Drosophila melanogaster: one gene and its partners. Changing the gene in region 2 together with the main gene of any one other region gives a genetic interaction. Each region holds a gene or a part of one and is shown on either strand. Other genes may lie near its edges.

Region 1 (10,108 bases), on a different chromosome or scaffold from region 2:
CCGCACAAAGCAAATCAAACAAACTTTTATTTCACACGATTTTCGCTCTGCTATTTTTCTCCCCCACTGACTCGCTTTCAATGTTTTTATTTGTCTTGAAACAAGTGAGTATAGCGAACTGATGCTGATGCTGATGCTGATGATCGGGGTCGAAGGTGAGGGGTCGCACGTGCAGCGCGTGTCTGTTAGTTTTGATAGTCAGTTGACTTCGCTTGTGGATGCCACCCAAGCAAGTGACCCGTTAAATTTTTGTGATAATTGCTATATTCGAGTGCCGAGTTCTCGGTAAATAGCTTTGAGATACTTTCATCAAGGGGTTGCAGTTTTGAATAAAATAAAATATTTTTAAATTAAATGTCTATATATCAGTTAGAAAATGAACGGTCTGTCCCAGTCCAATTGCAATGGGCAATTGCAATGCAGCCTCGATAATTGATTGTTTGTTAATAATTATGTCGAATTTTTTGGCAATATGCAGTATGCTTTTAGGGACAACCTCAATTTGGATTCAATTACTACTTCGTAAGCCCTAAAATATCTTGGCAATTTGTAAGTTCCCACAGTCGAATCAACTCATAGATTGCTCTCTTGGGGGTGGCTCTTCTTGCCCACCCAATTTCATTGGGCAAATATTGTTGTAGCATTTCATAGACTTTTGCACAAGTGATTTTCGTTGAGAATGGAAGCGGATGCCAGGTCCTTTGTCTGTGTTTAGGTGAGGTCAAAATGCAAACATTAAATGCTTATTCAAGTTCGAGTCTCCGACTGTCACTGTGAATAGGGCCAGGACACTATAAAAACGACCTTGCGGGCAACAAAAGGCACACCACAATGTCTGTGTGATTGTGAAAATGGGCAGACAGTCAACACTCAAAAAAAATTGCATAAACTTTCAAGAAAGCATAAAAACTTTTTAAACATGCCTAACTTATCATCTTAAAATGTTTTTTTTTAAACTGCATCAGAATTTAAGCTGCATTTTGAATACATTTTTTGGCAAGGATCTAGTTAGCGGAATTTCTCATATCTTATCCCAAATATTGAATTGGGTCAGGTTTTTGTTTGAGTGAAACTTTGGGGAGCAGTAGATTGGTGTGTGGGGCAAGGAGGCTGAGTTGGGTGCGGCATCCTTGGTATTTGGCACTCCTTATCAGCACTTTCGTTGCGTTGCAGCGTGGCATTTGTGCGACTTTTATGGGCGGCTTTTCAGCTGGTTACGATGCTGTCGCGATTGCCCTGTACCGCCAAGCTGTCTATATTCCACCCAACCCACCCAGAGAAAAGTCCAATAATAGTGGTGGTTGCTGCTTTGTTTTGTGCAGTGCCTCAGACAAAAAAGTGCCAATTGTTTTTGGGCCGAGAGTTATTGACACGCCTCGACGGTGAGCGCTTCACAGTTGGCCGCTTAAACAAGTGGGCGTGAAGGAATCCCATTAAGGACGATCGCCACCCTTCCGAAACGGCAGACAATCCTGGCCATCGTCATCCATTCATCCCCGCGGCGTGTCGGCAATTTAAACTAATAATCAACGCATCAGCAAACATTGTCGTTATATTCACAGAAGCCTGTGGCGTTTGGCGGTGACTCCTTACAGATTGCAAGCTATGATTTTCACTCACATGCAAACCAGGTCTCTATAGGGTTCTTCAATCCTAAAACTATTGTTACAATTTTGCCATAAATCCCAATGCCATGCTTTATTCAAGTACACTGTTTAAAAATCGTGGAATTTCACACTATTTTTAATTCGATTTCTGCTCTTTCATTTATCACATTAAAGTATAGTTTTACAATCATATATTACATAAAAGTGGACATGTTCTCGATGCCTTAACAAATCTAATGTACTTTAGATCTAATAAGCCATTTGTTTGGGTTCCAGAAATTGATAACAAAGATTGTGAAATCCTTAAATTAGGTATGAATAAAACCATTTAAAATGTGTTTTAAGCTGATTCAAAGCTGATTAATTCAAAGATTTATCGAAAGAATTGAGTTATTCATATAACAACATATCAATAAAAATATTAAGTGCAGTTTAAGTAATATGTACGAATTCAAATGATGTTGTGAATTTTAATAAAATGTCAAAAAATATATATAAAATATATATATATAAATTATAAGAGACTACTAAGTGTTATTTCTTAGCTAAGATTTTTTAAAATTTCTTTGATTTAAAATGTCTATTGCTTTTCGAGGCCGGACTTAACTTCATTATTTGTCAAAAAATGTCAGTAAATTGAGATTTTGAATGTAGTTTTAAAATTAATCATCTAAAATAGTGAAGCAGCACTAAATCAGAACCAAAAACATAATTATAGTAGCAACTAAAGACGTGCATTAATATTCGTCTAACACTAGGCTCTAACATTAGGACTTTTAACTTTTGGAGAGGAATGGTAAAGTTTACCATCCAAATTCCCTCTGTGGTGCTCATCCTAGACCACGTGTTCCGCGGATGAGGAGGTGCCGGCGCCGAAGCGCAATGGAGTCGGTCAAATGATGTTTGGCGGACTGGCCGCGCTGGCCACTACCGCATTTGGTGAGGACTTCTCTGACTTGACGCATCCGTAGGATGAGATGCCGGTACCGCTGCTGCTGGGCGGGGAGGGTGGAGTTTCCGGACTTATCAGCGGCAGATATCGCCACGGGTGGTAGATGGAGCCGGCGTACATCGCCTGGAGGCGCGCCTGTAGGTCCAGGGCCAACGTGGGATCCAGTGGATAGTGGGCGAGGCCGGGAAAGGCATTCGGCAGGCGGGGCAGCGATAACTCCAGTGGCGAACCAAAACCGTACTTGGCGCTCAAGGTGGCGGCGGCCAGCTGGACATGATGTGGATGAGGATGCGGGTGGTGTGGATGCGATTGATATGGTGACTGGTGCGGATGTCCGTGGAGATGTGGCAGCGACTGACCCAAGGGCGACAACTGGGGCTGCATATCCTTGGGGGAGCCAACTGATCCTGGGCCACTGGGACCGGAGTTACCCGCACCACCAGCGTTGACACCACCGTTGGCACCACCTCCACCGCCGCCACCACCACCACCTGGCACCGGTGACTTGTTGAGCGTCTTGGGCTTGCGACGTGGTCGATACTTGTAGTCGGGATGTTCTTTCATGTGCAGAGCCCTGTAAATTAAATAAATGTTGAAACACTGATCAAAAGATCGAACGATTTAAGCTTTGATGATATCATAAAGTCAGCCATCTCTGGTCGTAAACCCCAAGAGAAGCGGAACCCTTCCATAAACCCCACGCCAGGCAGATACAAAATGCACAAGTTTATATTGTGTATTTAGCGAAGAACCAGCACTCCGATTCCAACTTCGATTCTCTTTCCGATTTCCCAGCTGCAACAATGCGCAATTGTTGACATTTGTTTGACATAACGATAAAACCTGATAAAAGGTGTGTTTGGGTCGCCTCCTCTTGTTTTACTTTCGCTTTTCTTTATTTTGTTTTCCTTTCTTTGGTCAGTTATGGCCTCCTTATCGCGGGTCCCGAAAAAAAATATTGTTTTCCTTATCATCGCGCATTGGCAAATATTTGATCAGAATTTTTGGTTCTTTTCATTCGATATGCTCGCTCGAAAACCCCGAATGGCCATTAGTTTAAGCCCCTTCTGACGAGCCCTGATCATTTATAAATGTCATAAAATGTAAGTAAAATTTAACATTTCCATTTTGGCAGGCCAATCCAATCAATAAAAGGATTATGACAGTGCAAACACAGAGGTTCGTCATCATAAAAGACCGCACTATCTAGGAAGGCATAGAAAAAACGAACTTGTGAGATACGGCATTTCTGGGAATTCCTGTGGTTTAAAAGTGCACTGCAAATTTTGATTCCATTTATACCAATACAACTTATTTAAAAGCTAGTTTTATAAAAAATAAAATAATGTGAGATATCACTTTTGTACTTATTTGTAAAATGCTCGCTTTTGAGTATATTTCTTGTACAAAGAACTCCATTCTAGCGGTATTTTCAGTTAATCCCGATAATTACGTTTATTAAAACTAAGCTCAAACTGAAATTACTCAAACCCTTTCGAAAGGGTACACTGAATGGGTTAAGCACACAAAAAGAAGCAAAATGCAAAATGAATGGAGCATTTCATGCGACGTGTTGCCTCGCTTTTGTGTGACAACTTCAATTGAAATGTTTACCCAAGATATGGCAGTGCCAATGAAATTCTGACTAAGCAGAGCGGACACAATCCCCGACTCCAGAGCTCCGCAATTCAGCAGGAGCTCCTCACAATAGGTAGCCTTTGTCTTAGCTAATCGATCAAATTTTGTGGCCAGACGGCATCTAGTGAGAATGAGCTACCAACTGGGAAAATGGTAACCGAAACCAAGCCAGAATTTCCCATCCAACCTACACCACTCTGCTCCTGCATAAGCCGGCACAGAAAAAAAATGTATATCGTGTGGACTGAATAAAATTGAATAAACAAAGTAATTCTTATATCCAAGAATAGAAAGCGGAGGTAACTACAAAAAATACAAGAACTATGTTTTTCCTAGTTTAAATTAATATAGGATTACTGCAATATGATAATCTGTGATTTTTAACATCAATGGGATCCATATCTTTTTATTTTTTTTAAATATAACTTCGCCCTAATAAACCCTATTAATAATAGACTTGGAAAATTAACTTTTGAATTGAAAGGTAAGGACTTTTCCAGGTAAGAAAATACTCTTATTTCTGTTTACAAATTTAGTACATACATATTTTCTCAGTGCTTTTTAACCAGACCCCAGTGAACAATACTTACCGCAATCGTTTTGCCTCGTCGATGAATGGACGCTTCTGTCCTTCGGTGAGTAATTTCCACTCGGCGCCCAGGCGTTTTGATATTTCAGAATTGTGCATTTTTGGATTGTCCTGGGCCATTTTGCGACGCTGCCCCCGCGACCAGACCATGAAAGCGTTCATTGGTCGCTTAATGTGGTCGTGGCTGTTGTGATGGCTTCCAGTATTCGAATTCGAGTGGCTGGTCGGGGCATTATGGTGGGAGTTGCCATGGTGGTGCGTGTGCTGGTGCATTTTGGGTGCCACCGGAGTGGGGGCCGCTGGCGGAACGGCGAGGTCAGCTGGCGGCATCGGTGGTGGGGTGGTGTTTCCCGATCCAGAGCCTACTCCCACACTCATACCCATGCCCAAGCCACCGACCATGCCCAAACCCAAATTGATGCCGGGCAACTGCGGTGAGAGACTGCTGCTATGGCTGTGATTGCTACTCCCGCTGCTCGTGTAACCATTGCTGTGGCTGTGGCTCCGATGGAGCAGGGCCGAGATGCTCGTCATGATGCCGGGCGCGGAGTCAAGGGACTCCAATGGGGGTGCAGGTGGTAATTATCAGGTGGTAGTGCTGCAGCTGCTCCTCGAGCTCTGAAATGCCAACGGAAATGGTATTCAATAGATATGCCTTGTTAGCTTGGGGACTCTGTCTGCTGCTCCCTGCATGAGTCATTTGATTGGAGCTCTTCGCACTGCGAATAGCTTACCAAAAATATGCACAATGGAACTCCATTTACCCCTTCTAATGTGTGTGTACAGGGGGCTCAAAATGGTGTCCCGGTTTTATGACAAACCAATTTAAATATTTACCAGTAATTCAAATCAGTTTTCAGTATTGAGTATTTGCAAAATTGGGGATTTCCCTTAAATTAATATTATCCAAAATATATTCCTTGAAGAACGTATATTTGCATATTAACAGTACTGCCAAATTCGATTTCAAATGATGAATTAATTAAAGATTGGATTGGAAAATGATATATTTTTTAAAACAGGCTTTTCTAACATTGAAAATTGCAAATATTCATAAAATTCATTATATATTTCATATCCTTATAAATCTTTTGGTTTCTTTTTTAAGAAAATATATTTGTTCGCTTATTTCGCTTTTTTAAAGTGTTTAGTTTTTGGGGAGGAGTGTGCAATAGTTTAATTTAGAGCACAGCTTTTTCTTCATTTCATATTTAAATATTCGAATTGTTTACCTAGGGACCTTTTCTCATCATCATAATTAGCTTACCTGTATTAATTGTCTTTTAATTTCTCCCTAATAAAGTTTAAATTTGGATTCCATCCGATGCGTGACACTTAACTATCTAATTAATTGCACAAGAGTTTACGTTGCGATCGAGTTCTTTTTGTTTATTAATATTACTAGGTTAATTATTGTTGATCGCCATTAGAACTCCTAAAAATACACAAGTGCACTGATATGAATTTTTAACTTATTTTCCAAACAGTTCGAGATTTATAGAGCCTCGAATTTACGAACGTTGAAAGTATTTAAACCGTTAGACTGCCGATTCACCGTTAGCCGAGCGCAGCGCGTCCGTTTCGAGTGCGCGACAATTTAGATTTGAAAACACATTCGAAAACTTGCGACAAAAACGGCAAACAAACGCAACAAAAAGGGGCAAGAGGAAGAACGTGGGTGTTTGTAAGTATGAGGGTGTCTCTGTAGTGGTTGGTCGCTGCTGCGTCGCTGCCGCCCAAAAGGACCGAGTGGGAGCGAGACAAGGCGAGAGATAGTGCAAGGGAGAAGGGTCGCGCAAGTAAGAGAGAGAGAGAGAGAGAGAGAGCGCGCACATTTTGTAGAGTTTTTTACACCTTCGGAGGACGCGTCAACGTGGCGGCTAAGTGATAAAAATTCGCTGCTGCTGCTTTGTATCTTTGTATCTGCGTTTTGTATCTTATTGACAATAGTCTCCGGGTTTGTTTTCGTTTTGTGTGCACGTTTGCATTCTTGTTTACCAAACATTGCTCCTTTTGCTCTTCGCCAGTTGATGATATCTGCATTTTTTATCAAAACCGTAACACAAAAATAATTTTGAAAATTTGAATAGCCCAATAACATATTTCATATTAAGCTACCAATATCAATTTTTATTGTAAATATAAATAGTTTTCTTTGAAAAATTCAAGAAAATTCCGGCTAGTTCTGAGAATTTCGCTGCTATATTTATTTACAAAATATTAAATCATAAATTGGTACGTTTATAAAACACTTTATTATTCAGTTCTGTTTTTCTTCTATGCATTTGTGATCCAAATAAAAGGCATAGTTAAACTACTTTATAGCTCTTCTTAACTATGGAATGAGAACCCATTTTTAAGATGTCAAAAAAATGCCTTGATTAGTTTATTTAAATGGAATACAAAACGGAGTGGCAACAATCAATCGAATGAAAAATACACTTTAGCTTTTGAATCTTATACTACAATTAACCAAATATTGGATACTTACTTATATGCATGGTCTACACTATATGGTTATGGCACTATAATTTCTTACTGTGTATTAGACCGGTGTTTGCTCTCACAATCGATCGGTGGCTTATTTGGTATGTTTGCTGCAAGCTTCGGTATCCGCAAGATTGGCCCTTTTTGTTGGCAGGGTTGGGCCGCTTATTTCAATTGCTCTCCTTGTTTGTCACACACAGGAAATTCTCAATTCTTGTTGTTGCTGTACCAATAACGATTTCTGTATAATTGCAACGATTAGAAGCCCTTGATCCCTTAATAGTACCACCTTTATACATTTGCTAAAATTTCTTATAAATGCCGCTCTTTATAATTGACGGTTTCAATGTTCCGCCAACGGAGCTTCTCCCTTGACGAATACTAAGAAATTAGACAATTTTCCCGGTGTTTACAGTGTAATGTCAATAGAAAAGTGTGTAATATGCTAGGTATAGTACATCCGGAACAATAATTTCCCGATCACAATTAATTTTAATTAAATATGCTTTTGCAATAATATTTAACGATTATTGGGACTATTAGCAACATTTCCACAGTATATACTAAATCTTCAAATTAATTTGACCTAGAAAGTAACAAAAACAACATTTTAAAGATAAATGAATCGTCGCAGTGCTTTTTATTTTAAATTTTTTTTTTAATTTTATTGCGTTCCTTGAAAAGGTTAAGGAATAAAGCAATTAAGGATTTTTGCTCTGCATTCCTTGGCATTTTTAAAAAACAACTGTTGGCGCCATAAAAAGATATCTTCCTAAGGGGTTGTTTTGCGCAAGCGTCGCTCTTCAAATGGTCGTAACTTTTGTAGAGTTTCTGCCCTCTACTCCCCGACTTACCCCTCTTTTCGCCCCTCTCCCATATCCTTCTTCACCAAAACAAATGCTAAGTAGGAAACGCATTTGGCGGGTTCCCCCCTTCACCATCGCACAACAATAAAAATGGCAGCGCTCTAGAAATGTGTGTGTGTGTGTGTGTGAGCTGCCCCAAACCTCAACCCCCCACTTAAATCACCCCCAACGCCCACTGCCACCCCTCCTCGCACCCCTGCAACTGCGCGCATGTCGATTTCAGACACTGTGGACCAATGGCGTAGACAATGCTACGGGAAGTGGAGTTTGGGGAATGGGGCTGCTGCTTAGAAGCGTTCTCAATGGTGACGCGTTTTTTATCGCTTTTTGTTTTGCATGCGAATTGAATGCATTTTATTGGCCAAAAGCCAGAACAGACGGACCCAAAACAAAGGCGCCAGCAACTGGTGGTCCTTGGCTAGAACATGCCTGAGTATTTGCTTTATCTACCGCTGGCAGAGGAGCAGGATATTCGGCACGGAGACCTCGACATTCCGTTATTTGTTCCCTCTTAATGGACATTATGGCTGGCCCTATTATGCGGTCATCTCCCAGGACAATGGAGCACAGAAATTAGAAATCATAGTTGACGGTAGCGAAGAAATTTGAGTAATAGGGTACTCATATAAATTAAATCACTCCTAGAGCCTCTTCGTATTAAGATGCTTTGAATGTTATAAGAGTATATTAATATTAATATTTGAAAATTTCGCTAGACTAGGTAAATTTGATAACATTCTCAAAATGGGATATTGGTTTTGTAATGGCCAAAAATGGCTAGACTGTCAACACTGTTTATTTAACACATCCTTTTCGTTGTCCCCACTGCAGTCATAATTTTGGTCGCTTTTTTACATGACCCACAGCAGCATTGTTTGCTGCGCTTAGTTGCAATAATTTATGGCTGGGATTTAACAGCGTCGCACAAAATTTTTGCCAACTCTGGCAGACCGACGCCTCTCCTTCTCATTTGTTCCTACTATCCTTTCGCATTGGTTTCACCTGACCAAAAAATAGGAAATGTGCCCGTACTAATCGTGATTTGTGTTTTAAATGAGGCCAAATGCGAGGCAGTCGAATGAGGAGGCCGATAAGACTAGTGGGTGGCTCTAGAAAATGGAAATAATTCCCCCATAGATAACTATATTTAAGCTGGAAAACTTTTTGAAAAATAATCAGACTGAGACAATTGAATTTTAAAGCTTATATTATCACACCAAATTCGCCTATCAGAGAAGGCAGTTTAATGTTATGAAGAAATGAAAGTATGAAAACAAGCGAACTGTTCCTCCAAATTATTCTTAATTTACTTTGTGGAACCAAAGACATTAGAATTAGTATTATTATCTACGATTCGTAAGCCCGTTATTTTTTTATAATTTAGTTTAAGGGGATTGTTTTAAATCTTAGAAATTTTTCGAATTCTATTTAAAAGGGATCGTTTTGTTGTTGTTTTTATAAGCTTTATTTTATTTAAACTTTCCCGTTTTTATTTAGTTGTTGGTAAATAATGAAATTTCCAAATCATTGGTTTTCTTAATTTGAGATTTGTCCCATACAAATAAATCTTCAATAATTTCTTGGCGAATGTTCACTATGCAAAATATACACTGTATTTTTAATACATTTACATAAACACGCGCCATCTGGTGACGGTAGGCGTAACCTTCAAAATTGACATTAAATTGACCTGAAATTTCTACACAGTGATAAAGGCGACACCTACTTGCAGAATGGGTTGACAGCGGTTAGATGGCGCATTCGAAATCTGTCAGAGTTGAATGAAGTCCGTTAGGTGTCGCTCTTGAAAAATGTAGAATGCATAAGACATGTAGATATGGAGTATAATTTCAATAATGATAAAATAATTTAAAAATCTTGAAAGAATCTTCACATATATAAAAACATATGGTATATGTATAAAACACTCGTCGACTACACCATTTTCTATGGTGCAAAATATTTGTTA
Region 2 (7,916 bases):
GATGATGATAAAAAAAATGGGGGAAAAGTGGACAGAAAGGTTTTCCTGCTACCAAACTAAAGCGCTTTCGGTTTAGCTCTCCTTTTTTTGGGTGGTTTGTTTAGTTGGTTGAAGACTGCTCGCCGAAATGGCTGAACAACCCAAAGCCACATAATTAATGCGATTTTGGTTTGCGTTCCGTGCTTTCTTTGCAAATTTGTGTTGGCCAGTGTGCTATGTAGTTGCCCGTTGAGAGGTTTGGTTTATGAGCACTTAATTGGGGCCATTAATACCGGCTAATGCCTAAGTGAAGTGTGTGGACCCACAAAAGAATTGACAGCCAGAGGCACTTCACATAGCATCGAACAAAACACTAAATGCATCGACATAAAAACGTATTTATAGCTTTCGGATATTTCGACTACATTGCCCAGCATAGTCCCCACATTTACGATGCTTAAAATTTTGCGCCTCCAAAAAAGGCATATCAAATTGTGGCTGCTTCGATCATTTTGCGGGAATTGATTTATGGTTTCTTGGTCTATAAAGTAGCGGAATAAAAAGTATAACTTATTTTTTATGGTGTTAAAAATTGGTTTTATCTACAAATGATTCAGTATTGTTGCAGTAGGTCATCAGATCATTTCGACATGCTAATCAACTTATTCTATTGCAATTTGTCACATTACTATGACACGGATACATAATTCTAAGTAAATATGACACTTCTAATGAGGTAATGAAATATAAGTTTAGTGAGTACCCAAACTTCGAATCGAATGTCACCGTTATCGACTGGATTTTTCAGCGGTCATTTACTTTTGGATATTGCTCTTTGCGGCAATTCGCCTACATATTTGTTTTTTTTTTTATTGCTGTGCCAATTTGATTTTTACTTACTTAGATTTTCATTCCAACCCGATGATGTCATATCGTCGCAGAAGATATTCAACTTATCAGAATCCGGGATAAATTTTAATTGGAGCAAGCAAATATTAGCCATTGCAACTGAGATGACAACTCGCAAGTGGGCAAAACCATGCACATCGACTTTTTCATTACCGACTTTTGCAGTCCAGTGAATTTCCGCCAACTTCCCATAACGATGCTGAAAAACTTTCTTTGGCCGGAGGCATTCGGTTGACTGGCTTTTCCTTTGTCGGCGATGCCTTCACAACAATGGGGGAAAATTAAGGGGGAAATATCAAAGTCACGATCGGGCAATAGGCAATGCCATAATCAGCATGATCAATGCGGCCCAAACAAAAGGGGGTTATGGTATGCCCATTTGATTAATGCCACTGCTTGATCCCTGACCCGGAATGGTTTTCCTGCCCGGAATGGCCAAATAATGTGGCTTCAAGTTGGCTAAAGATAATGATACCAGCTATTGGCATTTACATGCACTCAACAAACACCTGAACCAGTGGCACGTACATGCATAATTAACATCGGTATTGAAATCCCAATCCGAGGTGATAAGAACTGGTAAAGTGTTGTCTCGACCGACTAATTGAATCGCCAGCGTATTGGATGCAGTGGCTCGATGGTTGACAGCTCCATTCAGGTGTGACGAAACCTTGTCTGGCAGACAACTATGCTCGGAATGTCGGAATTTTTATTGCCTTGCGCCTCATTAACCCATGCACAAGTATGCCGGCGAAATCTGACATCATTGCGCCGAAAATAAGACTTCTCTCATTTTGCCACTCAACTGCATCAGTCGATCAAGAAAACAAACAGAAAATGCAAGCCCAAATTCGTCACGTTTTTTTTTTGGGGATTTCATTTTGAGACGCGAAATTAAAGAGCGAAACAGTAACGCCACAAATTTCTCAACTTATAACACAAATTGTCTGGCGGCGTGGCAAAATCAACAAACATTTCACCCAGGATGCGTAACGAAAATTCAATTAAAAATGCTAATGTATCTGAAGAGGATGGTAGGTGAAGGGGGGGGGGGGAAGGGTTCCTACAAAATCGGAGACCCGAAGGTCTGGGGCCTGGACTCACATTGCATTGGCCGGACCATAAAAATATAAATCTTTAATGAGCGAAACCCATATAGCATGTGCATATATATAAGACCGCAAAGTAAACATATGCATATGCCGGAAAATACAATATTATGTATAATGTGGGTTCTGGCTCGGAAATACAATGGTGCGCACTGTGTGGTCTTGCATTTAGTTATCAAATTGCTGGAATTTGCATAAAAATCAATAAACTCTGCACAAATAACCCGGCTGGCAGTTCAATTAAATATTCAAGTGATTTTCTGTGACAATACCGAATCGGTTTTCGTCAACTTGGGTGATTTATCTCAGCCCAACAAGGCTCCATTTAAGACCCGGTTGACAGCTCTTGTTAAAGACATTGAGGGACATTGAGATAAAAGGAGCAGAAACGCAGCAGGGAAGCTGACAAATTGACGGCCCATGGCCCACACACAAATGGAGGAGCTCCGGGTTCCCAAAAAAACAAATTCATTGTCGATAAATTGCTGCCAGACCTGTGAAATTTACGCACATTCATGGGGGAGGCAGAAATTATTAATGGTGGCGAAAGACCAAAATACCAAACCAAAGTCTCTTTGTCGCGCTGTCTTATTTGTACAATAATATTTAATTGCAAGATTTGCACAAGAAAATTTATTAAAGGCAATGGGATGAGCAGAATGTGGGTGTGTCGGCATAAACAATCCAGATCCAATGTTTTCGTATCTGTATCGCCAACCGTATATGGCTTTCGGACTTTTTTGGGGATTTAAAAGCATTCGCCAAATATGGCAAATTGAATGATGTGCGAGGGAAAAGCCACATTCACAATCATCGATTATGACAATTTTATTTGCCCAGCTTTTGTGGTTTTTTATTGTTTGCGAATTGGATACAATGCGTAATCTTACATTACATTATATTGATCGTCGTTCTCGGAGTCGCTGAAATAGGCCTGATATTCATAATAAAGAAACATATCAATTTACAATGATTATTATCATGTGAAATGTTTAATATACGTTTTAAATGGTTCTAGTTTTATTATTCAAGGTAATTTATCTGACCATGATGAGTACAAACACTCTAGTATCTTTAGGACACATTTTTTTTTTATTTCAGTGTAGCCTACTAACCGGATTTTCTCTCCCTCAATAAGCAATTGCGGTTAAGATAATGTTAAGGTGCCATATGGCAATATGTGTCGTAAGAAAAGCAAACAATGCATTCAATTCAAAAATTAGCAGACTTTAGAAATTTAAATTCCATTCGATAATAAGTGTTATCTGATGGCAAAAAAAAAGAAAATAAAAGTCAACGTAGTATATAATATCCCAGAAAAGCTGAAAAGCCAATACGAAATACAAGCTCATTTAAATGGCGCACAAACAAAACGAAAAGCCAACAGTGAATCCAAAGTCAAATGAAGGAAAACGAAATTATGAATATCCATGCGAAACAATGCGAGTTGTCAAAAGAAAACTCAATGGAAAAGAAAGGGGAAAACCCACTTGAAATGCATTTCCCTGGAGAAGTCTTTACTCCCCTCCCTTGTGATGTGCTTGTACATTTTATTGGTGTTTTTTTTTTTTTTGTGAGAGTCGAGAAGCATTAAATGTTTTTCTTTATTTTTAGACACTAAATGGCCAATGCCAAAACACACATGACGTATGCGTAATATGGAAATACCTCTGGCGCACACAACCGTTTCGCTTTCCTTGACATCCAACAAAATTGTTACTTGTACATCACAGATTCAAATGGGCTTTACGATCAGACTGGATTGCACAAGCAAACTAGTTGTATATTTCTTAATGGCCTGCAGTTTGTTTACAAATTGGCGACAATAAAAACTATTAAGACAATTCGAAAGGCCAGAAGAAAACTCGGGGCGCTCCAAAAGATCAGGGAAGGCAGATGCACAGCTAGGCAAATAAAAACAAATTATAAATAAACGCCAATAAATAGAAATGAGCGTTTCGTTGGAAAACTGTGTCGCTGTGTCACGTCGGCACATTTCCCACTGCGCGTTTTAAATAGCCCCAAAATAAAATACACAACGCGTCTGTGTCGCGCGTTTTGCATACCTTCAATTTCAATTTCAATCTTCTAAATGCCAAACAACTCTAAAACTAAAACTAAAATAAAATAAAAACAAACATGGCTGTGTACTTTGGCTTTTGAGTTGCAACTTGTTTTTGAGGTGGAAATTTGCACCTCAGGGGAAAATGCATCAAAGAAGAGAAAAGTTTAAAAATCAATTGATAAGAGAAAATTAATTTTAAAATATTTCTAGCTAAAAACTCCACAAAAGCTATTTTGAATCTGCTCTTTGAGCTGAAACTTTTTTTTGCCTTTCAAACATATATGAAAATTCTGTTTGCGGAAAAATAAGCAAACCATTTTATTCCGGCTATTTAACTTCTGACACAACACTTGGCAATGCGGAAATTTTTAAAATAAATTAACACAATTAAGCATTCAAGTACTCAATTCTTAAATTACCAAAAATTAGCAAAATAAGCCTAGTTTGTTACCTTTAAGCTGCAACCTATTTTGTGTGTAAAACTAGCACTTCAGGCTTTTAAACACTTGAACCCGAGGGCACAAAAATCGGGAAAAACAATTGAATGTATTTTCACCGGCACTCGCACTCGCACTCGCACTCGATTCGACTCGTCAGCACTTTATACTACTTGGTACTATATATCTCGTACGATGTCGCGATTTTTCCGTCGCCGATTTTGTGGCGTTCTAGCTCGCTGCGCTTGCGGTTCTGCACTGGATCGTCAAGTCAACCGATTCGACTGTTTTCTTCACTCAAGTTGTTCGGGAAGTGAGAGATCGGATCGATCGATCGTTTGAGTCGAATCCACTCGTGTCTTTATAACTTGAGTGTTTCTTGCGGCAGTCGGGCGATCAAAAGCGCCATAAATTCGCCCCAAATGAGTGGAAAGTGGAGGAGAGTCGATTGCATTTTTCTTTGCGTTTATTTTGTTACCTTGGCAGCTTTATTAATTGCGTGCAGGGGCCTGGTTTATGCTCTCGGCCATATAATAGCATACAATATGCATAGTTGTAGTTACTTGGCGCCATGGCCAAAAAGAGATCGCCACACGAAACGGCAGAGAATAGCGCATCTGTCAGGCCGCAAATCAACTAATAATTCAGCTATGCCCAGTCGTAAACTCGCCAGAGATCCAACTTCCTCTTCCTCTGACCATGTGGCGCACACACGTGCTGTTGCTCCGGTCATGCTTCATATCATACTCCATGCTCCACCTACAGCACGTTGCCATAATCTGCATACCCGACCCGGTAACGCCACCGCACTACAGATCTACACGGCGAGAAACGGTTGGGGATACTTAACGTTGCACTACTGATGGCTTAAGAATATTATAATAATATTACAAAATTATAAGATTTAATATAATAGGGTTTTACAATTGTGATCAGTATAGTGGTCTGTGCCAATGTTGAAACTTATTTAAATCGTTTTCTTCCTGTGCACTTATACACCAGACACCACTGTCAATCGATGAACCCGCTTCAGGGCACTACGAATGCGTCACAGTGCATATTTTAAGTCCGCTGATATAACCGAGATGCAGTTCCCTAGACGGTGGGTACTCAGGCGGAACACGTAGCAGCTTCCAAGAATGCTGGCTATGTGGGGGTGTGACGTCTCATTCTGATAGTCACTCTTATTCTCGGTCCAGATACATCTCAGATACCTATATATATTTATGTTCATTGAGAGATTTCTCGCACTCTGTTTGTTTGGGGCTTTCTGTCAACAGGACGGTCTTTCATCGGCGGCAATTGCGACAATTCTTCGAGCTGCGTCATGGTTGTTATGGTTTTCCATTTGGTTTTATTTTGATTTATTCATTCTCTGCCAATGCAACACAAAATTAAGCCCATGTGTTTACTTGTGATTTATCAACTGTTTAAATATGGCTTTGGGTCTGGGAGAGATGATTAACAAGGGTAATCGGTTGGCGATTTGCATATATAAATGTAATAACCATGAGCAACGATGTAAAATTAATAAAATGCGAATTAGTCAAATATTTGAGGGCTGGGCATTGTTGCTGTTGCATATTTAATAGTGATTTGCATGCGCCATTAATAACTATAAGGTATTTTCATGAAATGTTCCTGCCTGACTAATGATCGAGGATTCTTGGAATTCGTCTGGCAAATCAAAAGAAAATTTCCATGGCCAGATTCGTGATCGGAATGAGGGCAAAAACAACCAATGAATTTGGCACTTATCCAATGGATTAATAAGCATCGCCCCTTGATTTCCGCAGAAAATAAAATGAGAAAAAATGGAAGTAAAGAGCTCATCGGTATATTGTAATTTATAGAATTTCAATCAGACAGTGAAAAACATATTGTGATTGCCTCGGTGTCTTTATTCCCAACACAAGAAGAAAGTGTTTTAAATATATACATTTTTTTTATTTAACTTAATGTACCATAAAGTATGTCAGTCATTAAAGCGAGGTCTATAAAACTTTTCTAAAAATGTTTAAAGGCTATTTATAAAATCTGAAACTATTCAATTTTTTGGATTAGTCAGATTAGTCCTAAAATTATTAATATTCACTTTGAGATTATGACATATTTATTTGGGATAATCACAATATATCGTGCTCGCCTCAATAGAAAACCATCATAAAAACATGGTTAAAAACTAAACTAACTAAATTATAAATTCTTTCTCTCCGTGCACTTGCAGTTCCAATTCACCAAGTTCCCAAGCGTGCTGAAGGCTGGACATTGCCATGGCGGAGTGGCCACCGCTCGCCTGGAGAACCAGAGCGCCCTGCAAGATGCCGCCGGATTGGTGAGCGGTGCTGGTAACGATTCCCATTGTTACTGCACCATCGAGCCCTATATCGATGCCAAGTTCAGCGTGCACATCCAGAAGATTGGCAACAACTACAAGGCGTTTATGTAAGTGACCGCAAACCGCAGGCGGCTGAAACTGAAAGCCAAAAGTTGATGCAGGAAGGGTCGAGTGGTCTGAGTATGTAGTCTGAATGGCCCGTATGGTCTGAATGGTCTGAATGGTCTGAATGGTCTGATTGTCTGACCTTGCAACTGTCAGCAGACAAAAGCCGTCGTCGTTTTGCAATTGGCAATTATCCTACCAAGTGCAGCGGCAAGAGTTCATTGTTTGCCATCCGAAATGCCCGTTGACGGGTTCAAAGATCCCTCGCCGACCTCCCAAACGCATTATCTACGCTTTTTTAGCCGCTTAATTTATTATACTTAACCGCTTTCGCTCTTTAACAGGCGCAAATCCATCACCGGCAATTGGAAGACCAATCAGGGATCCGCCATGCTGGAGCAAATCACTTTAACCGAGAAGTACAAAAGCTGGGTGGATGAGGTAAGCCAATGGATTAAAGCCATAAGAGACACTAAATCAAAGAGGCGAAATATGCTGGCCGATCAACCGACTTGCCTGTACTCTGAACTTTTCGAGAATTTTGACTAGATTTCACACATACAAATAAATCAAATAATTTTCAATATTAATACGTTTTTGAATTGCAATGAGAATTAAAAGTATATAAATATTATTACATAAAGCCTTCTAAAATATGGTTAGTGCCTAACTAAGTTTCTTTACAAAGCCCAAACATTTTTTCGCTCACATTACCGTTTGTGGCTCCAATTCTGAGAGGTCTAGTTATGAAAATCGCTTGGCAAGCAGCTTCAGCCGAGCTTAGCCCAGTTGAGTTTGGCTTGCATTTATCAAATTTGGCCAATCAATATGGCTAAGGAAAATCGCTTTAACTTGTTTGCGGCATTTTGGGTGCACAAATTCGATTTCGGCTGCTTTCCGTGTTTCCCTGAGGGGGGGGGGGGGGTGCACATGGAGAACCGACTTCGAGTATGGTCCCTGAAATCATAATCGAT
Region 3 (6,949 bases), 7.2 Mb from region 2:
CAACGAAGCTAACTTTAAATGTTTTACATCCATACAAACATATTTACACTATACACGTACGATCAACTTTTACACATCTATTTTTTGAGAAAACACTCGAGATCTACGCGTACATATTGATTTCAGGACTCCATGAGATATGTACATATATTTTTCAAACAAACTGTATGCGGCAGGGTAAACTAATCTGGCAAACGTAATTAAATTACAACACAAATTGTCTAATAATATGAGAAAAATGAGTATATACAAAATATACAAAAATAAAAAACGTAAATGTAACAGAAATACAAATAAATGTTAAACTAATAATCGCACACTAGAATAATGAAAACACAACACACACGGTGGATATTCAGAACCAGAGTTTGGCGAAATTTCGAGCCAATCGCAAATAGAAACAATAAATGTTAATTGAGGTCAAGTTAAATGAAAGTGAAATGTACAAGTTATATGGTAAAGATGATTAAGTCAAGCATAATGATACTCCTAAAAACAAAAATCATATTTAAGCATACCTACATATTTGCAAAATAAAAGAAAACAAAATGTTAAACTACACCAATCTCTGCTCAAGATCTGCTTATACGAGCCTAGTTTTATAGCAGTCTACTTTATTCAAGCTGGCAATGCTGTATGCCACCGTTATTGGATGATCGCTCGGTTGGTACCCTCGGACTACGAATGGCTAACTAGTTTGGTGTTACGTTTTTACTCGGCTTGCCAATTTACCCAAAAGGAATTTGTTAAAATAATTCTTAAATTTTATTTTCCTTTACATCAAACTATTTAATCTCAATGGTGATTTAATTTTACGGCAGCTGTTTTCTTTGAAAGTTAAAATTTACCACACACATTATTCTTATTCCTAAAGTCCAAACTTTAATTAATTAGATATTCGTTTTTATTTACAATTTATCGCTGCTTTCTGCATACATTACTGACTAAGTGCTCAAAATAACCAGTTAATGGGGCGCATTTAAAATCATCTTGTAATAAAAGACACTAATGGATTTTTGAGAGACTGAGAAGAACTGAGAAAAATGCACGAACATATGCGTCACATACACCCCACCGCATCCGAGGTACCTGCTGAAAACAGCTGGTTGTGGTTCTTTGTACTCGAAGCAGGTGATAATAAAGGCGCAATAGTAGCCCAGTCAGTTGACAAACAAATCGCAAAGCAGAAGTACCGACAGGGGCCATTAGTCCAGATCCTCCAGGTAGGCATAAATACATATATATATGGGCATTACTGGCAGAATGCGGCGCACAGAGAAAATGAAAGAGGCGTAAAAGGTCAACGCTATCCGTAGTCCGCTTTGTTTACGGCCTACATCGTGAATCAGAGAGAGTACTAAAAGTGCGGATTATACGCGATTACGATGACCGGAAGATAAGCCAGTCATTGCGAATTCCCTGTCCATAAATGCTGACCCGTCAGCTGTCCAGTGTTCAGTGATCTTTCAGAACCGCATCGTTATACTTGCAGTCTAGCCATGAAAACCTTTCACTCCCTACTATTCGCCCTGATTTTGGCCCTCGTGAGCCTGGACCCCTCTTCCGGTTACTCCCGCCGGAAAGATGAGCGTATAATTAGAGAATATAAGCGAGAGCAAGAGTTAAATCACGCCAAGATCGCCAGAGATTTGGTCCATCGCGCCAATTGGGCGGCTGTGGGAAGTCTCTCCACCAACGAACGGGTGAAGGGGTATCCCATGGTCAACATTATCTCCATCGACGACAGCGATGCTAATAACAGGTCCACTGGACGTATTCGATTCCTGCTAACCGATTTGGACTTCACTGGTCCCGACTGGCAGAAGGACAACAAGGTCACACTCCTGTTCAGTGACGAGCAGACCCTAAGATGCAAGGAGGGCGGAAAGGATCCCATGGAGCCTACATGTGCCCGTTCCATGATCAGTGGACAGGTGAAGAAGGTATGAAAAATGAATTAAATCCTATTTAAAATGGATTAAGAATGTTTTGGCTCATTTGAAGATGGATCCTAGCGACAAAAGCTATCAGCCATCGCTGGATGCCTATGTGAGGCGTCATCCAGCTGCCATCAATTGGGTAAAAGGTTGGTGAAAGCGAACCTCATTAAGAGCTCGATATGTATGTACTAATAATAAATACGTTGTTTCTTTTACAGCTCACAATTTCTACCTTTGCGAACTGGAAATTAGCAATATCTTTGTTCTGGACTTCTATGGAGGTCCTCATAAAGTGAGCGCCTCTGACTATTACGCTGTTTCGAATTGATGAACTCCTCCAAAAGCAATCCAACTGACGCCTCATATACTTTGTCAAAAAATGAAATGATAAGCATATTTGCACAACATGTCTGCCACAAAGGGAAAGAATGAAGACAAAGGCCTTTATGAAAGCCACTTATCAGTTGAGCTCTGTGATTTCAATCGATAGAACAATAACTTTGATATAAATAAAAATACATTCCGTTGAATGTACTCTGACATACTGAAATGTATTGTTTTGGTTTAAGAGAAACCAGAATTGTTTAACTAAAATGTTTTCATCTTTTTAGATTCAATTTACATTATTTATGTGTATATATAAAATACTTTTTAGTTTTATATGTTAGGCGGTAGCCTAGATGGATAATTTATCTGACTCATTAGGTAAACTTCACGCTTTGAGTAACTTATCCAAATATACCTTCTTCTGAAAGCAAACTAAATCACTGCACCCACCAATTCGTAGATAGAACCATTAGTGGTTAATTTGTATGTATATTTTAAACGCAGTTTTTCAAAGTTAATCGATATAAATGTAGTGGCGCAACGCCGTGGATTAGTCTTTCAAGGGGTTTACAGTGGTTCCATCTAGGTACCGGGCACCTTGCACAGGGTGGCATCAATCTTCTGCAGCTGCGGCAGTATGTCGCGCAGTTTGGAGCGGTAGCGAACATCCTTGGCCAGCGGATTGTACTCCAGGTAGATGGTCTGCAGCGCCTTGTTCACCTTCAACAGCTCAATGTCCTTCCAGTCATCGACTCCGTTGTGGTTCAGCCACAGCTCCTCGAGCAGTTCCAGCTTTTCCAGATTGGCAATGCCCTTCAACCGGTTCTTGGCCAAGTCGAGGGTCTCCAATTTGGTGTTCTCCGAGAGGTTTTCAATGGTTTCCACTCCGTTTTCCGAAACGTAGAGTTCGCGGAGGTTGGCAAGCTTTTCAAGGTTCTCGATTTTTACAATGCGATTGGCCTGTAGACTGAGTATCTCCAAATTGACCAATGTGTCCAAGTTCTCGATCTTTGCTATCTTATTTTTGCCCAGGAAGAGCTGTCGTAGATTCACGAGCATTTCGATGTTTTCGATCTTCTTCAGTTTGTTATCCCCCAGCTCTAGCATGGTCAGATTGGTGAGCATGTCCAGGTTCTCGATTTGGGTTATCCGGTTCGACACAAAGTAGACCTTCTCCAGCTTGACCAGCTTGTCAAGGTTCTCTATCTTCGTCAGACGATTGAAGCTAATGTCCAGCACCTCCAGGTGGGGCAAGTCGTCCAAATTCTCAATCTTGGTGATCTGGTTGTCATACAGCTCCAGCTCAATCAGTGTTTTCAGGCTGGACAAGTTCTCGATTTTCTTGATCAGATTCCAGCGCAGAAACAGGCGCTCGATTCGAGTCAGCGGCTCGAAGTTCTCCAGCTTCTCGATCCGGCGATGATTCAGATCAAGCTCGTAGCAGTCCGGATCGATTGTGATTATATCCTCAATGGAAGCCACATCCTCGGCGGGAATCACCTGGATTCCGGACACAGTTTTCGCGGCTTCTGGTTCGTTCATCGCACGATCAGCATCGCCCATGACTGATATATTTTGACCGGCTTTTCTTTTTTTTTAATTCAAGTTGACTTTCGAAAATTGAACGCTGACTTGACTTGTTGTTTATTCCGCTGCTCAGGGTGGAACAAAGTGGGGTGACTTTCTTTAAATATGACGTCAAAGCTTGACACTGTTACAAAAGCAAGAACACACGGTAAATATAAATATGTAAATTTAAAATAAATATGTATTAAAATATTTACTTAATATTTATAAGTTAAGTCCAAGATGACTGTATACTCCTTTTGGTCCAACTTGTTCAATATGTCAACAAAATACTTAGTCACCTTACCGGCACTTTAACACTATTTCTACTAGAGATGTGCACCTAAGAACACGATGCTAAACCTGTATTATTATATATTCCAATGTAAATGAAAAACAAATATTGATTGATAATTTGCCAAATAAACTAGAACATAATTTTTGGAACCAGCTTTACGTAATTTTTACAATTTTAATATCTCTTTTAAGTTTTTCAAGCAGTTGTGCCAATGTCGTTCTTGATTGAGAAATGCGCATCTCTAGCATTTCTTCTTCTATCATCAGTGTTAAGCAACGCCGGCGGGGTTCAATCAGATGTTTTCCAAGCGTGTTGATTCAATTGGCAACAAATTGCAAATTGTTTAAAAAAGACTCGAAAATGGCTTTCAAATGACAGCAAACAAGTAGTTTAAACTGTCAAAACAACGGATAAAAACGAAGCGTTGCAGGTGGCAGTGTTTATTAAAGCAAAGAACAAACAATCATGTCTACGGGCCTAAAATGTCGCAATTGCGGATCCAACGAGATCGAGGAAGACAATGCTCGCGGAGATCGAGGTATAATGACATCCAAGGACCCATATCCATGACACTAACGACGTTCACCCATTCACTGTAGTTTGCATGAACTGCGGCTCGGTATTGGAGGATTCCCTCATTGTTTCCGAAGTGCAGTTCGAGGAAGTTGGCCATGGAGCAGCCGCAATTGGCCAGTTTGTGTCCGCCGAGTCGTCGGGCGGTGCCACCAACTATGGCTACGGCAAGTTTCAGGTGGGATCGGGCACCGAATCCCGCGAGGTGACCATCAAAAAGGCCAAGAAGGACATCACACTACTCTGCCAGCAGCTGCAGCTATCCCAGCACTATGCAGATACTGCTCTGAATTTCTTCAAGATGGCATTGGGTAGGCATCTGACCCGCGGTAGGAAGAGCACCCACATCTACGCCGCTTGCGTGTACATGACCTGCAGGACAGAGGGCACCTCCCGTGAGTAGTGCATTCATTTTGCCTAAAGAGTAGCTTATTGACTGCTCATATCTTCACAGATCTCCTCATCGACATCAGCGACGTACAGCAAATCTGTTCCTATGAGCTTGGTCGTACCTACTTAAAGTTATCGCATGCCCTTTGTATCAACATACCTTCTCTGGGTGAGTGAACGTTGTGAATACTAAACTATACACCTAAATCCCAATCCACAGTCAAGTCAAGCCATAGCTCCACTCTTAATTTTTGTTTTTTTAAAAATATTTTGTTGGGTTTGTTAGATTTGCTTGCTTTCCTTTTATCAGGTATTTAACAATACTCTACTCGTTCCTGTTTTCTTTATGCACTACTTACGTGATGTCAAAATATCCAAAATCTTCAACTCTGAGAAAGTAAATTCGCAAAAATCTAATAATGTATTTTGTTTGATTAAAGTACATAATGGTAATAGATTCATAATCAATACAGGATAACATTTTATATAGATATATGTATATAAAAACCATAATTGTCTTATCAAAAGCAAAAAATCAGTACAATTTCCAAAGAAATCCGAAATACAAACGTAAAACTGATTGTTGCGCTCAGCAGGCTATAATAATGCACAGGAGAAGTACGGGGCTTAGTATCAGTAGAAAGGCATATTGTGTATGTATGAGAGATATAATGGAACAACTACGAAATAGATATAATGCGTACTACAAGATTAATATTTGAATATATATGTAGGGGGGATTTTGTGCGCATCTCGTACAAGATCCCTTGATTTCATTTTTGTTTGCTATTTCGTTAACTGGTTAACTTGGGTTTCAAATTCGTCGTATGCAACTATTAACATGGCCTATTCTCCCTCGAAGTGTTTAGGACTATAGTTTATCATTATCAGATCAGATGTGTGTATATGTTAGGTATATGCTGGCAAAAATATGTTTGGTATATATCGTATTAGCTTTTGTCCACTCTCCCTTTAACTGTCTTTAGAATATTGGTTAACGCTAGCTTGACTGATTGCCCGATTTTCACTTATTGCATGTATCTATGCGTCTCTATTAGCGTCCATATGACCCCATCCCGCCCTCTTAAGTCGTGGAACGTATTAAGTTTTCGAGTCAACTACTAATCTTTATCTATAAAGTTAAGAGTGTATATGATCAACTTTTTCGATTTTGAAAATATCTTTATATGCATTACCAACAGACTATGTGCAGTGCGTTTTAGAACTGCAAAACCATTGATTTCACTTGCTTAACATACTTGGGATATCGAAGGAAACTTTCCAATTATAGCAAATTTCCTATATCGATTGACTTGCATCGGCTGACTTTTTTTTTTGAGATGATCACGTACTGACAATCGTCTTGGAGTTTTAAAACGCACTGCCGAGGTGTATATATATGTGTCTATGCTTTGACGTGTATATATATGTTTATATATAGGACTATTATGAAAACTAGAGTACTCTACTATCTTGGTATATATATATATATATATATATATATATGAGCCTAAAACTCCAATTTACTTTCTTGTGCTGCACTGAAAACCCATGAGTTTCGATTTTGTATCTGTATCTTTTGCGGTTGCTGTGTTTTGTATTGTTGTGTTGGTCTCCTCTGTTGCTGCTGCTGTTGGCGGTAGTAACAGGCTCCCTGCCACTCGGCGCAATAGAGCTGTGCGCATCAGGTGCTTCCGTCGCCATCCTCCCCAGAACTGTTGGCGTTATTGCCAGATCCATTGCTGCTATTCGGAACAGCTGTTCCGGCTGCTGCGGTTGAAGTCGCTCCTGCATTGGAGGAACTGCCACCAATTGGCGTGGGACACAGTGAATTGGTGGGCGAGCTCATTGCTGT
Region 4 (7,514 bases), on a different chromosome or scaffold from region 2:
AATGCCAGCGATGAGACGGTGAAGGTGGTTCTGGCCACGGATATTATCGAATCGCTCTGCCTGAAGGTGCCGTTCAAGTACCAAATAGACACCGCCTGCCGGCTGAACAATGTTTACGATACCACGAGCTGCAGCGGCGATGATCGCTTCGAATGGGTGGCCAAGGACGCTCTTCTGCGAAGGGAGCTAATCCTTCAGCCCAATAGTAAGTACATAGCTCGTCATACATTGTTAACACTAACTGATGCACTGCGTTTTCCGTAGAAGGGGATGTACAATGCTTCCGTCTGATAAGCAAGGAGGCCTACGAGGAGCTAAGCGAGACCAGTCAGCCAAGCCTGCAGACTATGCAACTGGACAAGATCTGCCTGGCGGTGAAACTACTCTCACCCAATACGATTATAAGCGAATATCTGGGTATTACCATCTCACCGCCACCGCTGATCAACGTGCACCATGCCGTGCAGTTCCTCAAGAAAATAGATGTGCTCGATGACGCCGAGGATGTGACCTGGCTGGGCTGCCGCCTGATGGACATCCCGGTCTCCTGTCAACTCGGCCGCATGCTGATCTTCGGCATCCTGCTGCGCTGCCTGGATCCAATACTCACGATTGTCAGCTCTCTGTCGACGGCGGACCCGTTGGGCATTCCGTTTACCGAGGACATCGACAACTTGTGGGACAGGTTCACCATCTACATCCAGAACAGCATCAAGAAAGAGCGGACCTACCTGTCCGACAATCAGTTTTCCGATCACTTCATCTTCGTGCGCTTGTACAAGGAGTGGCAAAACCGAATGCACAACAGGACGCCGCCGCTATACCTTAAGGATGAGTATGAATTCATGCTGAATGGCCTGATGGAGCAACTCACCTCCATTCGTTCCGAGATCGTGAGCTCCTTGCGGGCAGCCAATTTGATTCACAGCCGAGGTAAGCTGTCGATGAACAATCTCAACCAGATGTCCTGCAATTGGCACATGGTTAAGGCGGCCCTCACGGGCGGAATGTATCCCAACATCTATGCCGTGGACACTAGAAAGAGTTCGCTAAAGTCGGCCTTCTCCGGGAACGTTTCCATGCATCCGAACACCGTGCTCCGCGATTTCTTGGAGCCACTGAATATTTCGGCACAGAGCTTCCGCACACCGTGGATTGTGTGCAACAGGCAGAAGAGCCACATTGTTTACGCCACCCTGGTCGTTCCTCTGGCTGTTGCCATGTTCTCGGGTAAGCTCGAATGAATTTCATGTTATATCATTCTGGTTATCATTCATTTTGTATTAATTAGGACATCCACGGATTCGCCTCTCCCCGATCTGCGACAGTGAAATGAGTTTGACCGATCGCAACGTGAACGTCTTTATAGACGAATGGATCTGGATGGTTATGTCCAAGGCTACGGCGGAGATGGTGATGCGCACGCGGTATTACTTCTTTAAAATGTACCACGACTTGCTGAAGCACTGCAGCGAGCTGGACATGTGGCGCCGAGACTGCGAGCCAGTTTCCCAATACACCGTGCTGACTGATACGCTATCGAAGATCTTCGAGAGTGAGGATGGATTCGTGGGCTTCTTCAAGCCTCCGCCCATAACCTTTCTACCGACGCCCCAGCTGCCATCCTTGTACCTCCTGTCCGTTAACGCCCACTTCAGTTGGGCCCGGGAAGTGGAGGAGAACATGCTGTCGAAACCACACCATTTCAATTCGCACTTCATCGAGAGGCAGTTCTTCGTGCTCTACGCAGGCGGCGACTGCGAGGAGTTCCACAGCAGGAACACGCCAGCCTTTATTGAAAGTGTCCTCGGCAAGTTTGTCAGACCCATCGACACGCCCAACCGGCACATCTTTGTGATCCTGTATAGAAAGGATCCCGATATGATGCTCAGCATTAGTCGAGCCAAATTCGTCAATGGTGTATTTATGTTGCAGGAATACTTCCGAAACAACATTCCGGTGTTTGAAATCTTGTAAGTGCAATCCAAGTTGCGGAGAATACTCCAGTCTAATGTGCTCTCCTTTCAGAGATGCGTGTGTGTCGTTGAATGTGCAGACACCGGTGTTTGATGGCCGCCTGATGTCGGCGCTAATTGACAAGCGTGTCGGCAACTTGATTATGGAATTGTTTGCCTTCCGCCACCACTGGATTCACAAGCGATAAAGCCCGCTTCCTCGCGCATATTGCCTGCTTCCCTACTAATTGAGTCCTAAAATAATTAAGAATGATCCAAAGAAGCGTGCCGAAGTCCAAATAGGACTTGATTGTGCCTTTTATTGCTGTGAAATGACTGTTAATTTTAAATGAGAGCTAACCAGAATCAAAATACGTACTTTTAGTACCACATTGCGTCTATCATCGTTGTTTTGAAATATTTGAAATTTGTGCATCCCAATCATGAGTAGATGTGAGACAATAAAGAAGAAGTATCTTTTAATACTAGCCACAAATGAAACTCCTCAAGAGACGAACTTCAGTTAGGTACAGCGCTGTATATTTTTGTATAAAAATATTCGAGATTAGTACAGAGATGGACATCTACACAGAAATGCTTTATATATATAGTGCTATAGTGCTTAGCCTAAGTGGTAAATTGAATTCAATGGCACCCGCAGGATTTCACAATCATGTTTCTATACTTTTTCAGGTTCACATTCTCGTCGTTCAGGTGGTACAGAACGGGTAGTGCTCCCAGCCTGGTCGGAGCGCAGCAGGGCTTGGGCACCTTCTTCGGCTCCAGCAGGTGGACCAGGGTCTGGACGATCGCATGGTTCGTGGCGTTCATGTGCGCATTGAGCGGGAAATTGCACTCGCCGCTGCAGTAGAAGGCGCCATAGCCCTCTGGTGCGATGATCCAGTCATGCCAGCCCAGATCCTTGAAGTCTATGTACAGGGTCTGCATCTGGCAGCTGCGCGTGCTCTCCATCGGTTCCAGCAGCGGCACGTTGTTGGGCGACACCGACTTCTTGCGCTTGCGTGGATGGCTGGCGCTTCGCTTGCTCCTGTGGTGGCTGCTGTGGGCCGTCGCCTTGATCAGCTCCGGTCCGCGGAAGAAGCCGATCATGAAGGGCTGGAACTCGTCGTCCACCTTGCGGTGGATCAGTCCAATGTCGTCCAGCTTCACCTCGCGGTCGGGTCGGTTGACAGCGTGTGCTCCAATGTAGATGCCATGATTGTCCTTCGACTTGACCAGCCACTCGTGCAGGCCCTCGGTCACGTTGAGCTCCAACCAGCCCACGTAGTCCCCGGTGGTGTTCACCGAGGACAGCGGCTCCATGGTGTGCTGGCCCAGCGTGCCGGTGCCAATGGCGTATACCGTGATGGTGAACTCCCTGTTGGCGGTCAGCCACTTGCCCTCGTTGGCGTTCTGATAGATGCGCAGCTCGGCCATCACCAGGTAGTTGTCGTTGGGCACGTTGGAGACGTCGAACCACAGGCGACGGCCGTGCTCGTGACGCAGTTCGTCCACATTGTGGTGGCGCTTGTTCAGGAAGGTCATGATGATGTCGCTCTCGTCGATGGCCCGCTTGTCCAGGTCGGTGATGAAGTTCTTCTGCTGCTCGCCCTCATCCTCCTCGAGGTCGGCGCTCCTCCTGGACCGATGGCCGCGTTCGTAGTCGTCGTCCTCATCCTGATCGCTGAGACCCTCCTCCGCCGTGATGCGGTGGTAGACGTCCAGCAGGAACTTGGGAGCCGACTTCCTCAGCGACAACTGGTGGCTGCTCAGGTGCGTCGGCCGTTCGGCGATGCCCAGGAACTCGAGGATCTCGTACGAGACGTCCAGCTTGTCGTCCTCGCTCAGCACTCTGTGCATGATCGTCTGGTCCTTGCCGTTGTCTATGTAAATCCCCGACTGGGTGGCCTCAACGGCCGGCGGCGTGGTCGCCACGAACATGAGCAGAACCATTCCGAGTCCCAGGGAGGCGAGCACTGCAACGGCCTCCGAGGTGTTTCGCAGTCCCGACATTATTTCGTGTTTTGGACGGATCGGTTGCGATCGCTGTTTTTCTATATCTACGGCGCTATCCACTTGCGATAGCTTCAGATGTACAGTGGCATTTAGTTGTTTATTTCGAGAGTTCCAGCGAACCGCGGGTTCTGAAAATTCTGACGCACTTACGGATTGTTGTGTGTATCTTAATCTTCAAGATGCATTTTCTTTCTATTTCGCGGGAGTTGGCAGTCCCGCGACTTGGAAAATGAATCGGTCTTGAAGATCGAACTAGAAGATCCAACATAGTAGTTCATTTCAGCTGCGATCGTGAGCAAATATGTGGTTTAATAGCTTCAAAAAAAAAAAGAAGAAACTGTGTAAATGTAGAAAATATAACGTTTATATTGGCAAAGTTCGTAATATTTTGATATTTTAAACTATTTATGGAAGTGGTATTGACGAAAGATTTGTAATTATGAATTTGTTAAATTTATCATAGTCCGGGCATAATTTGAAATATAATATAGGTAATGCTATTAAAAAATATTAATTAATATATATACATAGTTCATATTCAAAAGGAAACAGATCGATTTAAACATTCGGTATGCGATATACATAGGATACATTTTTATCGAAGATAAAATCGACCATCAATCGATATCCGATAGGTGGCCATGTTTTGCCCTTGCATCGCATCCCTCGCATCATCATCCGCATTCTGCATTCCTCATTCCGTTTCGGCGTCGCGGCGAGATAACGCGCGTTGTTTATTTGGTTTTAGTTTTAAGTTAGCGCGTTTTTACCCACCGCCGGTGTCGCCCAAATAATGCTAGACACAGCCTAGTGCAACGGTAAGCGGGATGCGTGCGGTGCAATTGGAGTACATGGAGTCTAACATCCGCTCAAATCCACTGCAGGCAAACCATCATCAATCACTCAAACCGCCACACAAGCAGAGACCGAAACGGAGCCATGGGCCGCAGCCGAAGTCCCGCCTCGCCGGCGCACAGGAGACGCGAGAAGGAGCGATCCGAGCGGAAGAAGCGCAGGGAGCGCCGTTCCCGGGAGCGGGAGGCCATCGGAGTAGCGCCAGCCGGAGGATCCGGATCTGGAGGCGCCGGTCGCCGCGACCGGGAACGGGATCGCGACCGCAGTCGCAGCCGAGATCGGGAGCGGGAACGGGAGCGCGACCGTGCGCGGAGTCGGCGATCTAGGTGAATAAGAAAGTGTAGTGTACCAAATGCCAACCACGATAAGTATAAAACTAGTCACTAAAATCGGGGATGTGGGTCACAGTTCAGGGGCGTGCTGGATAACCGTGAAATGGGGTTTAAATAGCAACCAATATTTATAAGTTTAGGATAAGCTTAGGGAGTGTTTGTGTAGATTTAGGAACACATTCCAACACAGGGGACAATTGACCCCTCAAACCCCCGAAATCGCCGTTCAGAACTTGTTTATTTACCCACGAGTATCGATAGACCCACACTTCGATAGGCAGCCAATCGATGGCTATGCAGCTCTGGCGTCCCAACATCAAAAAAAAATTACCACGTGAAGCGAAATTGTGCGAATTTCATCACGACATTTAAATTGATTTCCGGACATATAAACAGAATCCAGAACTCATCCGGCAGCAGGCTCAGTCAGGCCAGTAAATCCGAAAAGAGAGTAACCAGCAGGAAAAGAGGATCCACGTAAATACAGAGAAAATGGCTCTACGCGTCCAATTCGAGAACAACGACGACATCGGCGTCTTCACTAAACTAACCAACACATACTGCCTGGTGGCCATCGGTGGATCCGAGACCTTCTACAGCGCCTTCGAGGCGGAGCTGGGCGACACCATCCCGGTGGTGCATGCGAATGTGGGCGGCTGCCGGATCATCGGCCGCCTCACCGTGGGCAACCGCAACGGCCTGCTGGTGCCCAACTCCACCACCGACGAGGAGCTGCAACACCTGCGTAACAGCCTGCCAGACGCCGTGAAGATTTATCGTGTGGAGGAGCGCCTGTCCGCGCTGGGCAACGTTATCGCCTGCAATGATTATGTGGCCCTGGTGCACCCGGATCTGGACAAGGAGACCGAGGAGATCATCGCGGACGTGCTCAAAGTAGAGGTCTTCCGCCAGACCATTGCCGACAACTCACTGGTGGGCTCTTACGCCGTGCTGAGCAACCAGGGCGGCATGGTGCATCCCAAGACGAGCATTCAGGACCAGGACGAACTGTCGTCCCTGCTGCAGGTTCCCCTCGTGGCCGGAACAGTGAACCGGGGCAGCGAAGTACTCGCCGCCGGCATGGTCGTCAACGACTGGCTCTCCTTCGTGGGCATGAACACCACGGCCACAGAGATCTCCGTGATCGAGAGCGTCTTCAAGCTTAACCAGGCACAGCCCGCCACAGTGACGACCAAGCTGCGTGCGGCCCTCATCGAGGACATGTCCTAAGCGAAACTTTCCCCACTTTCTACTTGATATAAGGATTATCTGTTATCTTCTACATTTCATTTAAGAAATACAAAACACGAAACTAAAACAAAGTCTGGGAGCTGCAAGCATCAATTAGCTATTTTCCAATGGAAGTTTTTGAGATATAAGCTAGAGGAATAGAGGAATATTGTCTGTTAGGTATATAAATGGATTCAGAATGGATTTTAGAGGGATCTTGAGCTTGATTTTAAATCTTAGAATGAAATTCTCTAGCATATGCATATACAAGCCGGTTATTTTGGGTCTTCAGATGATTGCCAAAATCGAGACGTAAATATGGTCTTTAATGAAGCCAACCGACCGGTTGAGAAGTGTCGCATTTCGCGTAATTAAAACTTCATATTGCACAATCGGGTGCACAACGCCCAAGGTCGCCCCAGTTATTTCCCAGGCTCGTTGCAATTCGAATGCAATCAACTGGTCGGTCCTGTCACTCAAACGAAATCTATAGAACACTCACCACTCACTATGCACACACATTCATAATTTGCAGATCGCGGTCGAGGGTCGCCGGAGGAGGAGGAGGAGGAGGCGGCGGCGGAAGCAGCGGCGGCAACAGCAGCTCCGGACCATCGACGTCGCGAAGGACGACGAGGAACAATGCGGCGGCCACAGCTGCCGACCGGCCCAAGATCAACGAGGCGGACCTGGAGGGTAAATCGCCGGAAGAGGTCGAGATGCTGAAGACAATGGGATTCTGCACGTTCGACACCACCAAGAACAGGAAGGTCGAGGGCAACGATGTCGGAGAAGTGCATGTAATCCTCAAGCGAAAGTACCGCCAGTACATGAATCGCAAGGGTGGCTTCAACCGGCCGCTCGATTTCGTGGCATAGCAGTGCCTAGCAGCAGCCGTTGGCGTTGTCCTTGCAATTCCAATTGCCATTGGCCATCGCCATCGCCATCGCAGCAGCCACATCCTTTTCCGTTGCCCAACTAGTTTGCTACGCTTTTTTACTTGTCCGTGCCCAATGGGCAATGGGCGGCGGACGAAGACCTGCAATTTTATGCAATAGACCGGTTTACGAAATTCAGCCAGCTTTTGGCCCGTCAAAATTTCCACGCATCCAGCTAGTTCAGCACG

What was found.
Region 1: of Timp (region 2) and Sox21a, changing one suppresses a phenotype caused by changing the other (phenotypic suppression), as found in Drosophila melanogaster (one study listed by BioGRID).
Region 3: of Timp (region 2) and sds22, changing one suppresses a phenotype caused by changing the other (phenotypic suppression), as found in Drosophila melanogaster (one study listed by BioGRID).
Region 4: of Timp (region 2) and gbb, changing one suppresses a phenotype caused by changing the other (phenotypic suppression), as found in Drosophila melanogaster (one study listed by BioGRID).

What each region holds. Positions count from the first base shown.
Region 1 is NT_037436.4:14,101,755-14,111,862, forward strand, and holds Sox21a (Sox21a), read right to left. Parts: upstream 6,365-10,108; 5' UTR 6,054-6,364; intron 5,405-6,053; 5' UTR 5,321-5,404; coding exon 4,788-5,320; intron 3,134-4,787; coding exon 2,500-3,133; coding exon of another isoform or gene 2,443-2,499; 3' UTR 1,727-2,442; downstream 1-1,726.
Region 2 is NT_033777.3:10,208,246-10,216,161, forward strand, and holds the start of Timp (tissue inhibitor of metalloproteases), read right to left. Parts: upstream 4,763-7,916; 5' UTR 4,514-4,762; intron 1-4,513. Other genes in the region: Syn (synapsin), read left to right, coding at 6,727-6,944, 7,287-7,383. UniProt on the Drosophila melanogaster protein: Metalloproteinase inhibitor that acts on both matrix metalloproteinases Mmp1 and Mmp2 in vitro. Complexes with metalloproteinases and irreversibly inactivates them by binding to their catalytic zinc cofactor.
Region 3 is NT_033777.3:17,388,810-17,395,758, reverse strand, and holds sds22 (sds22), read right to left. Parts: upstream 4,166-6,949; 5' UTR 4,052-4,165; intron 4,003-4,051; exon of another isoform or gene 3,979-4,002; 5' UTR 3,831-3,978; coding exon 2,850-3,830; 3' UTR 2,739-2,849; downstream 1-2,738. Other genes in the region: CREG (cellular repressor of E1A-stimulated genes), read left to right, coding at 1,500-1,943, 2,005-2,086, 2,159-2,268; lute, read right to left, coding at 6,779-6,949; Brf RNA polymerase III subunit, read left to right, coding at 4,597-4,669, 4,731-5,099, 5,159-5,263.
Region 4 is NT_033778.4:23,848,209-23,855,722, reverse strand, and holds gbb (glass bottom boat), read right to left. Parts: upstream 4,162-7,514; 5' UTR 3,969-4,161; coding exon 2,601-3,968; 3' UTR 2,476-2,600; downstream 1-2,475. Other genes in the region: bgcn (benign gonial cell neoplasm), read left to right, coding at 1-205, 265-1,230, 1,292-1,973, 2,029-2,164; eIF6 (eukaryotic translation initiation factor 6), read left to right, coding at 5,651-6,388; ytr (yantar), read left to right, coding at 4,911-5,152, 6,924-7,266. UniProt on the Drosophila melanogaster protein: Required for the growth of imaginal tissues and for patterning of the adult wing.